Linked DNA regions of Drosophila melanogaster. The protein of the gene in region 2 purifies or fractionates together with the protein of the main gene of each other region. This does not show direct contact. Each region holds a gene or a part of one and is shown on either strand. Other genes may lie near its edges.

Region 1 (4,196 bases), on a different chromosome or scaffold from region 2:
AAACAAATTAAAAATATTAAATATACAAGAAAATAAACAACAAATTCCAAGTTTACACACTTTTGAGACTGTCAAGAAACTCTTTACACAAAACACTAAATCGAAGTTTAATCCTAAATTTTTTAATTATTTTATTAAAATTTTAAAAGTTTTGGTATGTAGTATGTTCCCCATTGGCTTTAGCTACAAGTTGAAGCCTTTTTTTCATGGATTGGACAAGTTTTTGCAGGTCATATTCAAACGGGATCTTTTCACACTCTTCGACTATTACAGTCATAAGCTGTTGTTGTGTTTTAGGTCCCTTTTTGCCACCTTCTTCTTTAAGTAGGTCCACAAATTTTCAATGGGGTTCAGATCAGGACTCTGAGGGGGCGTATCGATCACTTTACCACAGTTATTAAGGCGCCAGGTGCGTACATTGCACTCTTTATGTTTCTGATCATGTCCTGGTAAAACTTAAGATTTGGCTTGTTGTTGCTAACTAGACCGAATTTTTCTGCACTGGCCTTCAAATTTGTTTTTTAACATTTCTAGATATTGCACGGCAGTTATTGTGCTCTCAATTAAGGCTAGTTTTCCCACTCCACGGCTGGTGATACAGCCCCAAACCATCAGTGACATTTTTCCAAATTTTATCGTTGGAATGATATTTTGTTTTTCTAGCGCACTCAACGGTTTGCGCCATACTCTGCTTGGCCCGTCGTTATAAAAGAGCATCATTTTTGTTTCGTCACAAAATATGACGTCATCCCAGTACTCTTCCGCATGATCCATCATGCTCACAGCGAATTAATGACGCTTTTCCATATTGGCATCTGATAGCAAAGGGTTTTTCCTTGCAAATCTTGAAGAGTACCTATGGCGTAGGATGACTTGGCGCACAGTTTCGTGTGACACAGTTAGGTGGCATTCTTGCCTGATATCCAGAGCAAGTGATCTGACCGAGATTCGGGGGTTCGCAATCACTATTCGCATAATAAAGCGGTCTACACGCTTTTTAATTTTAATTTTCCGCCCACCACCGCTCTTAGGTTCAAGCCTGCCCTCTTTTTCCGAGCCTTTTAAAACATTGTAGACGGTCTTACGGGATACAGGAAACATTTATACTAATTCTGGAAAAGATTTTCCCAACTGGTGGTTATAGTTTATTAATTGGGTAACTTCAAAAGTTAATCTCTTTCCAGGCATTTTATTAAATTTAATAATTCGCTTTAAGCACGTTTGATCAGCAAAATTTCACAAGCAAAGTCAACAAAATTTCAATAGAAGCGTTGTAAAAAGCAATGCAAAGCCAAAAATAACGGAAAAATCGAGTTCGTTCTAAGAAAAAGAACAAAACAAAGTAGGAAAACAAAATGTGTAAAGAGTTTCTTGACAGTCTCAAAAGTGTGTAAACTTGGAATTTGTTGTTTATTTTCTTGTATATTTAATATTTTTAATTTGTTTTTTGATTTATAAGTAAAATAAATATTGTTTAATTATATTTTATAAAAAAATTGCGTTTAATTAAGCAAAAAACCCTTTATTTTTAGCTTTAAAGTCAAAAATTCAACTTATTTCACAGTGTGTAAACAGTTTCTTGACAAACTGTATATATTTTAATAAAGTTTATAGCGTAAGTAAAAGTTAACTGAGAAAGTGTTTTTTACTTAAAAAAAATTGGATAGATCATAGCATGGCCATACATCGCTTTTGATTCGCCAATGCAGCACAGATATTTTTTCTAAAATAATATTCTTTCAAAATTGCAGTTACGCGTTAATATGAAATGAAAATTCAAATATTTCATAATGAAATTTATGTTGGCAATGCTGAACTATGCATTGGTGTCGGAACGACAGTATGGTATTTTTGCGTATTACGGTCACACCAATGCCGGCAGAACAATTTGTTATTAAAACAAAAAGAGTTAATTATAGCGCTTAAAAGGTAACAGCTGTGCGTTTGCATTGTTGCTTAATGCAAGCAAGTTAACTACCCTGCAACTAAAAATAAATATTCAAATCGGAGCTAGGCAATCGCATTGGCATTGGAATTTTAGTAGTTTTGTAAACTATATTTGTTTAAATCGGTTACACGCTGACAACTATAAATTATAATAGCAGTGAAGTGAATGAAATTGATAAGCTTATCTTTTCGGAAGCGCAGCAACAATAAGCGCGTTCCACCAAAATCAATTGAAGTTCTGCCCGTTGAAATAGTTACTTTTTTGACTGCGTGGCTACAAGTTGTGGGCGTGTTCGAATTTTGGGTATGTGCGTACAGTAGAGACTGGCTGACACGGACGGAACAAGGATTTAGTACATAGAAGGAGTATCTTTTCTTTGAAGTTTAGTTTTGTTCCTAATTAACATTCAAAATTATATATCTTTACATAATTTACAAAATTAAAGATAGTTGGGCGACCACTGTACACAGATTTATTATAAATATAAAGAGCGGCAATAATTGTAAAGGCCGCGTGTAATAAATAGCGTATAAACCGAATCCAATAGCCATATACGTACGTGGATCTCGTTTCAGCCCAATCATGTCCAAGTACTTATCTGTCCTACTGCTGTCCGCGGCACTCGTTGGAGCTGCCAAGCCGGAAGATAATGAATCGTGCTATTCCTTCGCCGGCGGCTCCGTTTATCCCGACCAGCCGAAGGGCGACCATCAGCTGCAGTACACCAAGGCAGTCAGTGAGTTCCATTGGATGCAAAAAACCAGGGATCACTATTAAGTTGCTGCTACCCTTATTTCCCCAGTTTCCAAGCCAGCTCCGCAGTTCGAGGGCACCGCCGTGGTTAATAAGGAGATTGTGAAGCTATCATTGTCCCAGTATCTAGGGAAATATGTGGTGCTACTCTTCTACCCACTGGACTTGTAAGTTTACATTTACATTTAGTATGATCGCATTTCTCATTGCCATTTTAGCACCTTTGTATGCCCAACGGAGATCATTGCCTTCTCCGACCGCATCGCCGAGTTCAAGAAGATCAAGACCGAGGTGATTGGCGTCAGCGTGGACTCGCACTTCACCCACTTGGCCTGGATAAACACGCCGCGCAAGGAGGGCGGCCTGGGCGACGTGAAGATCCCACTGCTCTCCGATCTAACGCATAAGATCAGCAAGGACTACGGAGTCTACTTGGAGTCCAGCGGTCATGCGCTGCGCGGTCTCTTCATTATCGATCAGACCGGAGTGCTGCGACAGATCACCATGAATGATTTGCCCGTGGGACGCTCTGTGGACGAGACTATTCGTCTGGTTCAGGCCTTCCAGTATACGGACACCCATGGAGAGGTTTGCCCAGCAGGTTGGCGGCCAGGTGCCGATACGGTAGGTTTTTTGAAGCATTGCCTTAGGTAAATTCTTTTTGATACCATTACCTTTACAGATCGTTCCCAATCCTGAGGAGAAGACGAAGTACTTTGCCAAGAACAACTAGGGACAGATAGAGATGCACATTACCTTAGTAGCCTAGCCCAGTTACATTCCTAATGTTCACGACTGAATCACGATGCAAACGAACAATCGCTAGAGTCCTCTGTACAGAAAATCCAAATCCGCAATGCCACCGATTGTGAATATTTCGCATTTGCTTTGTACAAAACATAGTTTGTTTATTTTACAGCATAACTGAGATATAAATAAATTCATGAAGTACATGTGAAGGTGATGAAAATTGCGCGGCGCCACAGGAGCGGTACCAAAAAGGAGGAGATGTTTTCGATCTCAAAATGCCTTGAAAGCTGGCTCACTAGGCCACTCTAATGGGTAACAATTCGATTGCAATTAGTTTCATACAAAAATATATGTAATATGTAATATGTAGTAGGTAAAAGGTAATAGTAAATTAGTTAGGTACGCCATGGTTGCAATTAAGTTATCCTGTGCTCCGACCTATGCGTACAACAAAGCTAGGTCTGTCGAGGTATATAAATCTGGGGAAACGGGACGGGGGCGACGACAATAACTAGGACGTCATAAGGCACTCGTTCTCGTCGGATTCTTCGTGTGTAGTCTGCTTTCTGTTTTCCGTTTTGTGCGTTTGTCAGTAAGTGCTTCATTGTGGTGAGCTTTAAATGCCAAAACCGAGGTTCATAAAATAACGAAGGTGCAACTGCGGTTCAGATCCAAGTTGTGCGGGAGATTCCTTTGCTGCGGAGATTCCGTATCGATCAAAGCGTTGCACTGTTCAGATTCCCGG
Region 2 (3,996 bases):
ACGTGCTTTGTTTGGTCTTGGGCAGCACAGGGCAATCTGCCTTGACTGCGGCGACTGAAGGAGCCCCACCTGCCATGTACTCCATACCCTTTTGCATCATGTACTCCATTTCTTCCATGGTATCATTGAAATGCAACGAATTTTCCTTATTTTCAACGCTCTTCTCCGCTGGTTTCTGCTCAGTGTGATCTTTTCCGTGGACTGAGGACACACGGGACGTGTCTTCTTGTTTTACTTCTGGAACTAGCTGCACTTCTTCATCGTCAGAAGAGGATAGCTCGATTATTGTATCCTCTATATCGTCCTCTTCCTCCTCGACCTCATCCTTCGGAAGTGAGGCCAGCTCTCTAAGACTGCCATGAAGATCGCTTAAGAGCTCCAGCTCCTCTCCCTTGGACATTCCTGGTGGCTTGGCCTTGGCAATTGCGGCGTAAAACAATTCGTCGACGTTTAGGAGCGTTCCACTGAGGGAAGTATCCGTGGCTGTTTCGTAAGAACTAGATGCATTTGTCTTTAGGGTGCGAGCGCTTTGGAAGCTTGTGTGTGAAGACACATCAGACGACTCCAGTTCGCTGTCTTCGATGATGGTTGAGGGGCGAAGCAGCCCCACCATTTTGACAGGCGAAACCTTGGTCAATGCTTTAGGAGTCAGCCCAGAGTCGGATGAGGTCTCGTCCATTCCGGCCAGGGTGTTGTCCCAAAAGCGCGACGGCGCCTCAATGTCCTCCAGGTGAGTGCACTCCGCCCCCTTGACGGGACTTTCGTTCTCCAATAGATCGTCTTCTGTACCCACTGCCTCTAGCATGCGACGCAGTGCATCGATCTCTTTCTGATCGTCGGTGCTATGATCCCTAGCCCTGGCCATCACCTGACTCCGGTCCTCGCTGTGCAGGTACTGGAAAAGAGTGCTATCCGGATCGGAACCGGTTTTGTCGCACATGCGCTCAAAGGCACTGAAGCTATCATCGCCATCGTCCAAGTGCTCCAAGTCACCTGCCTCGTACATAGTATCCTCGCCGAGATTAACAGTCCTTTGACTGGCAGAATTAACGGCCAGAACTTTCTTGGCCCGCGCCTCCAAGGGTCTCCTCAAATCCTCGTCGATCTCCAAACTATAGCGCATATCCTTCGTTTCGTCCATTTTCACGGGCTTTTTCGGCAAGCTGAAAAAGGAAAACTGTTATTAGTTTTCTCAACTAAATTGTATGTGTGTCTAAACTGTCCAAACTATTTATGCGTACTGTTTCTCTAACAATTTTGACATGCAGGTGGCTTGTTTGAAAGTAAATGACTACAAATTCATCGAACACTAGTGCAACACTATCCAAGGATGGGTTTCAATGTGTATTTACCGCTCGGTCATTAGAAACTGACGGAGTTTCTGACGCCATTCCTCAGTGTTTTGGAATTTCTTGAGGCCAGACATCGTGAGTGTGCGAGTGTGCGTGTGTCCTGGGTGCAAAACTCCAGTCGACGGGATAAACACGTATAATTGCGCGTTGACTATAGTTCAGAGGATTTAGAGTTCGCTCCAGTCGATCACCTACCTTCTGGCAATAGTATTCACGCAGATCTTCCTTAATCTTCAAGGCGCACACGCAAATATTTCATGGATTTCTTCACAGCACGCTCATTTGCCAACGATCGACGCGCCTTTGCAGTCGTTTATTTCAAATGCCACGACAGAGTGCCCGTATTGCGCTTATATTTTTGAATGGGGTATTCCAATGGACACTACACATATACATCATCGGAGTTATATCACTTATAACAAATAATAATATAAAATTAAGACAAATATGTCTACCATTAAAAGCAATTGTACTGCTCCGTAACTTTTAACATATATTATTTATTATTATTATTTTGTGTATATATACAGACATATTGAGCTAGCTAGTGTTCTTAACAATATATAATATTTTTATAAGAACGTTACAACTTCTTGTATCTCTGTAAATAGAACAAAATCGCGAGCCCCCTATTTTCGGTATATTTTGGTGATATCACGGTCACACCGGCGACTATGCAACTAGAAATGCCGGGTCAGTGAAAGATAACAAACAAACTGCGTTCGGCGAAAGTACTTAAGTTAAGTTAAAAATTTGAAGTAGGCGAGAGCACATAATGAACGCACTCCGTCACACGATATCCCTGGTATCGCTGGGCACCTTTCAACTGGTGCGCCGGACCAGGGGGCCGCACGCCAGAGGCTTTCTCCTCGGCACGGGATTGGGCCTGGCCAGCTTTTCGGCGGTCACGTACGCACATTCCGCGGAGGCTGTCGACCCAAAGGTCAACGGGGTGCAGATGAACACCTCGCGGTTCATGGCCGAGCCCATCACCGACTCCAAGGCACTGCTGGGGGACAAGGAGAACATGCGTCATCGCATGGAGATCCTGATCATGGAGATCCAGGCGGAGTTTTGCCGCGCCCTGGAGGCGGAGGAGAACTGTGGCCAGAAGTTCAAGGTGGACCGGTGGGAGCGGCCTGAGGGCGGAGGCGGCATCACTTGCGTCCTGCAGGATGGCGATGTGTTCGAGAAGGCAGGCGTCAATATATCCGTGGTCACCGGTTCGTTGCCCCCGGCTGCAGTACAACAGATGCGGGCTCGCGGCAAGAATCTGAAGGAGGGCGCCTCGTTGCCGTTCTTTGCCAGCGGTGTGAGTGCCGTGATCCATCCGAGGAATCCCCATGTCCCCACCATTCACTTCAACTATCGTTATTTTGAAGTGGAAACTGCCAAGGGGGAGAAGCAGTGGTGGTTTGGTGGCGGCACGGATCTGACGCCCTATTACCTCTGCGAGAAGGACGCCTCCCACTTCCACCAGACGCTGAAGTCCGCCTGCGATGAGCACGATCCCACCTACTACCCGCGCTTTAAGAAGTGGTGCGACGACTACTTCCGCATCAAGCATCGCAACGAGAGCCGCGGCATTGGCGGAATCTTTTTCGACGACATCGATTCGCCCAACCAGGAGGCGGCCTTCAACTTTGTGTCAAGCTGCGCCAGGGCCGTGATTCCCTCCTACGTGCCGCTGGTACGAAAGCACAAAAATCGGGAGTATGGCAACAACGAACGACAGTGGCAATTGCTGCGCCGCGGGCGCTACGTGGAGTTCAATTTGATCTACGATCGTGGCACCAAGTTCGGTCTATACACGCCTGGAGCCCGGTACGAGAGCATCCTGATGTCCCTGCCCCTGCACGCCCGCTGGGAGTACATGCACGAGCCCAAGTCCCAGTCCGAGGAGGGCAAACTGATGAAGGTCCTGAAGAACCCCAAGGATTGGGTCTAAGCTATTTTTAATTGTTCTTAAGAGGGAACCGGTGCCTTTTGCATTATATTTAAAACTTAATGTGTACATATTGTAATTGTTGTTGCAAATAAACATGACAAAATGTTATTGTTTCCTAACTATTTATCCATATTTGAAAAACTAGTTTATTCCATTCAACATACAGTATACATTGGCAAATAATACTATAAATTGGACTCAACAAGTAAAATTAAATACATAATGTTAATGAATTTTAATTTTATTACGAGTTATGAAATTCATCTATGAAATGCAACAAAGTATGAACAAACTCAATAGACTTCGACTTTGACTCATTACTTTGCTTCTCAATACATAATTAAAGGGCCTGGAAAATAAATGTTTTACAATATAAAGTATATATGTATGGTGCTGAGTCATGGTGAGACAGCAAAAAATCTATAAGAAAAATTTCGGAAATTTTTACCCAATACCAATATTAAAAATGAACACATATACATATACATATACAGCCGGTCTAATATAACAGGACCTGTCGACATGACTTCATGTATGCATACGTACATATCTACTTTTTAATTTTTCATCATAGTTTTTTTTTACACAACTGTACCTTTGAAAATTTAAGCACATACGCACATACATCATGAATGGTATGTATGTATACATGGTATACATACACAATCATCATGTATGGCTTGGCTTTCACAAACA
Region 3 (4,372 bases), 2.9 Mb from region 2:
GGTTGCATTCAGAGACATCGATAGTTGGCCGCCATCTTTTCACAGAATTTTTCCTTCCACGTGCGATGACGAAACTCGTTCATTTTATTTCAAGACTCGAAATGGTAAGTTGTGTGCTCTTCGTAAATAGTTTTATATCAAGTGAATTAAAGTGCTTAAATGGAAGAGTGTTATGCCTCAAATGATGAAACAGATGACGAGACTGAAGGAACAAATTCTCGACTTGGCGCTGTATTTTTCAGTGCCTCGTTATATATTTGTTCATTTAAGATGATTCGGCGATCTGATGGCATATAACTTCAAGAACTTTCTTTGGGTTTGGCAAGAATATGTTCTAAAAGTTCTGTATTTCTTGCAGTGAACAATATTGAAACCCTAAGCATTTGGATAAATCGAAATCCGGGCACTCCACGTGCATGGTGCATGTGAGACACCTCGGGACAACATGTGAGCCCGTTGAGACACCTTGGGCACTGAGCCCACTGGAGACGCCATTGTCACATTGGAGGTAAGATATTAATACTTTTGGTTGGTCTATGCTTCTCTGATGATCTTTTACACAGACCTGTACTGAGCTCATAACCGTGCAGAAAATTGTAAACTGAAACCTAATCAAATATATAAAATATTTGGAAGTACTCCTTGTACACACTGTATTGATGCCATTTTCTTTTATTTCCAGAATTTACATTCTGGTTTGAGGTTATGTATGGGTCCAGCTGCAGCAGCGAGCACATGGATTTACCGATAAAGGTAATTTATTTACACTAACATTTTTATGTTTGAATGCAATATACGTTTTACTGATGATTAACTTCAACACCTTTTGCGGTTTCCACCAGAAAGCTTCGGCTTAATGATGGTCTAAGGCGTCTGACTAAAAAGTTTCAATAAAAACTTTATTATACTTAAACTAGCATTTTACTTACCTATTTTATCTCTTGTTTCCAGATCAACTCAGAAATGTGGTTTATCGCAGGCAAATATAACTAAATGAGCTCGTTTATTCGACTGTATAAGGTAATATTTTCGAGAATTTTTTTTTTTAAATTAATAAATAAACTGATGATTACCTTAAACACCTTTTGCGGTTTCCACCAGAAAGCTTCGGCTTAAGGATGGTCTAAGGCGTCTGACTAATACAAATATATATATTTCGGCTGTCTTGAGATGATGTATTTAATATATTTTATATTTTACTTTAATTGCAGAGTGACGTTGCCTTGTGTAAAAGATCTTGATATAAAAAGAATTGGACATCTTCAAATACTAAAATAAATAAACTAATAAAATCAAATAATCACGAATTGTATATATTTTTTATTGTTATTGGGATGGTGGAAAAGAGCCGCAATTTGTTTAATCAGTTGTACAAATAAAGTATTGACCTTAGAACAAAGTTATAGATAGATAATGCTTTATAATTTGAATTTACCGTGCTTAACTAAACTGGTATTTATCGAACAATTTAGCACAATTGTAAGCGCACTTTACGAAAGTAATTTAATGAGATTTCCTAGTATTAAATAGAGCGCTTCCCAGAGCACTGAGAGAGTACAAAGATATTTGAATGATTAATAGTAGGTAAACAAATCTTCAAAATTGCGCGCCCAATTGTCATCCCTATTTTCCACCCCTCACTTTCGATATCGATAACATGGAAAATGAGACGCGCCGGTTTAATCAAACCGCTGTTGCGTATAAATAACGAAAAACAACGTGTTTGGAGAAAAAACTACGCTACCCAAGTGGTTTCCGGCTTGGAGGAGTGCTCACTAGACCCCAAGGAGTATGTGGACTTCAAGCGGCAGCTGCGGCAGCTCAACTTGCCCCACAAAGACGGACACACGTGCTTGCAGCTGGAGTGTCGCCTCTGCGATCGCAATAGGCAGCCGGTGACAAACGCCCAAAAGGGCACCGATCATGGGCTGCTGGCTTACGTAAACAAGCGGACGGGTGAGAGCACCAATTACATTTCGCAAAAAAAACCGTAGTATATTCAATTTTCCTTTAGGAGCCTTTATCTGCCCCAATTGCGACGTAAAAACCTCACTGACCAGCGCTTTATTATCCTATCAGTTGCCCAAGCCGGTTGGCTATAAGCAACCGCTGCAGAGGCAGCCGGTCTATGAATCCCGATTTCCCCACCTGGCCGTGGTTACTCCCGAGGCCTGTGCAGCTTTGGGAATCAAGGGCTTGAAGGAGGACCAACTAAATGCCATAGGAGCACAGTGGGAGCCGCAGCAACAGCTGCTCCACTTTAAGTTACGCAATGCCGCGCAAGTGGAGGTTGGCGAAAAGGTGTTATATCTGGGCGATCGACGGGAGGAGATCTTCCAGAGCAGCTCCAGCTCCGGGCTGCTGATTCACGGTGCGATGAACAAAACCAAAGCGGTTCTAGTCAGCAATCTAATTGACTTTATTGTCCTTGCCACACAGAACATTGAAACGCGTAAGTGAAAACATAGCTTTTAGGAATATTTTTCATTGGTTGCAGAATAGTGAAGAAATCCTAGGGTGATATATTTAAGATATCAATTAAAAATAATTTGGAAACCAGTTTGGCTCAGCTAGTACACATTTAAGATATAATTTAATTTAAAAATTAAATTGTCTCCTAGATTGCGTTGTATGCCTGCCCTACGAACTGAAGACTCTACCACAAGAGTGTCTGCCCGCCTTGGAACGCTTCAAAGAGCTCATCTTTTGGTTGCACTACGATGCCAGTCACAGCTGGGATGCAGCTAGAGCTTTTGCGTTAAAGTTGGACGAAAGGCGATGCCTGTTAATCCGACCTACTGAGACGGAACCTGCGCCACATTTGGCTCTGCGCCGACGACTCAATCTGCGCCACATCCTGGCCAAAGCGACACCGGTGCAGCACAAGGCCATCACAACATTCGGAGCAATGCGAAATGACATTCTCAGCGAGTTGCAAAACATCGAGAAAGTCAATGGAGTAAAGTGGAAGCGCTTTCCAGTACTGAATAAGCTGCTCAAAGGCCATCGGAGGGGAGAGTTGACAATCCTCACAGGACCCACGGGTAGTGGAAAGACAACCTTTATGAGCGAGTACTCTCTGGATCTGGCCATGCAGGGCGTAAACACGCTGTGGGGCTCTTTTGAGATCCGAAACACCCGGCTGGCGGCCACCTTGCTTCGCCAGTATGTGGGCTACCCGTTGGACGACCGGTTGCATGAGTTTAACCACTGGGCAGCGGAGTTTGAGCGTTTGCCGCTATACTTTATGACCTTCCACGGACAGCAGCCCCTTAAGCCGGTTCTGGAAGCCATCGAGCATGCGTCGTATGTGCACGATGTGATGCACGTGATCATTGACAATCTGCAATTTATGATGGGCGTGTCCACATTTCGAGGCGACAAGTTCTTTGAACAGGACTCTATTATAGCTGCCTTTCGCTCCTTTGCCACCAAGCACAATGTACACGTGACACTCGTAATGCATCCGCGCAAGGAGCGGCAGGAGGACGAGCTGACCACCAGCTCGGTTTTCGGCACAGCAAAGGCCACCCAAGAAGCGGACAACGTGTTGATCATTCAAGACAAGAGGCTGACTTCTGTGCGGGGCAAGAAGTATCTCCAAATTGCCAAGAATCGTTATTCCGGCGACCTGGGCATCATGCCACTGGAATTCGACAAAGACGGCTTGAGCTACTCAACCCAGATCCAAAATGCCAAGCGAAAACGGGAAAAGACGCCATCCGAGAACTGATTAGTAAGGCATTTGTTGTACTATAGGTTATAATTATTCTGTTGTCTATGGTTAGTTTAGTCTTAAGTGCATCCTTTGATAAACTGCATCACGTTGAGCTCTGCTTGTAGTTCTTGGTGTTCATGATCTTCTTGCCGCACATGGCGCATATGGCCTTTTTGTAGGCGCACGCCTGGCAATAGTGCGAACCCATCTGGTGCACTTTCTGTCGGCAGATTCTGGATAATTAAAAATCAGATTAAGATATGCAGATGAATTCTTGAGGAGATTTCCCTACCGGCAAGGTGGTAAAGCAGTCCCTATGGGATTGTATCGCTCGCGGGCCGAGGATAAAGCCTTGTTCTCGTTGATTTTACGTCCTCCCGCAGGAGCTGTGCTCGTTCGCCAGGGATTGGGCGCTGAAACTTTGGAGAGCTTGGCCTCGCACTTCTCGCAAACCATTTTTGTTATCAATTCAATTTGTTTTTTATTTACGTTTTGCAAAAACAGAGTGACCATTCCATTGATATTAATATCGATTGTTTGCTACCGATTGACCGCATATTTCCCAACTAAGTGTCTATCGAAGGTTGTTATCGACCATCTCAATTGCAAATTTTGGAAGCGTAAAATGACTACAGAAAAAGGGGAGCAGTTGAG

The links. The genes of interacting proteins can lie anywhere in the genome.
Region 1: the proteins of Coprox (region 2) and Prx4 purify together in Drosophila melanogaster (affinity purification with mass spectrometry, with the first as the bait; one large-scale study listed by BioGRID). This does not show direct contact.
Region 3: the proteins of Coprox (region 2) and mtDNA-helicase purify together in Drosophila melanogaster (affinity purification with mass spectrometry, with the first as the bait; one large-scale study listed by BioGRID). This does not show direct contact.

Annotation. Positions count from the first base shown.
Region 1 is NT_037436.4:3,040,522-3,044,717, forward strand, and holds Prx4 (peroxiredoxin 4), read left to right. Parts: upstream 1-1,837; 5' UTR 1,838-1,929; intron 1,930-2,028; exon of another isoform or gene 2,029-2,251; intron 2,252-2,523; 5' UTR 2,524-2,530; coding exon 2,531-2,684; intron 2,685-2,750; coding exon 2,751-2,868; intron 2,869-2,919; coding exon 2,920-3,325; intron 3,326-3,383; coding exon 3,384-3,434; 3' UTR 3,435-3,653; downstream 3,654-4,196.
Region 2 is NT_033779.5:6,962,392-6,966,387, forward strand, and holds Coprox (coproporphyrinogen oxidase), read left to right. Parts: upstream 1-2,029; 5' UTR 2,030-2,127; coding exon 2,128-3,300; 3' UTR 3,301-3,496; downstream 3,497-3,996. Other genes in the region: sip2 (septin interacting protein 2), read right to left, coding at 1-1,163, 1,353-1,426. UniProt on the Drosophila melanogaster protein: Involved in the heme biosynthesis. Catalyzes the aerobic oxidative decarboxylation of propionate groups of rings A and B of coproporphyrinogen-III to yield the vinyl groups in protoporphyrinogen-IX.
Region 3 is NT_033779.5:9,890,712-9,895,083, reverse strand, and holds mtDNA-helicase (mitochondrial DNA helicase), read left to right. Parts: upstream 1-1,637; 5' UTR 1,638-1,664; coding exon 1,665-1,956; intron 1,957-2,014; coding exon 2,015-2,452; intron 2,453-2,621; coding exon 2,622-3,733; 3' UTR 3,734-3,821; downstream 3,822-4,372. Other genes in the region: CG4537 (uncharacterized protein), read right to left, coding at 3,822-3,951, 4,011-4,174; CG34183 (uncharacterized protein), read left to right, coding at 4,344-4,372.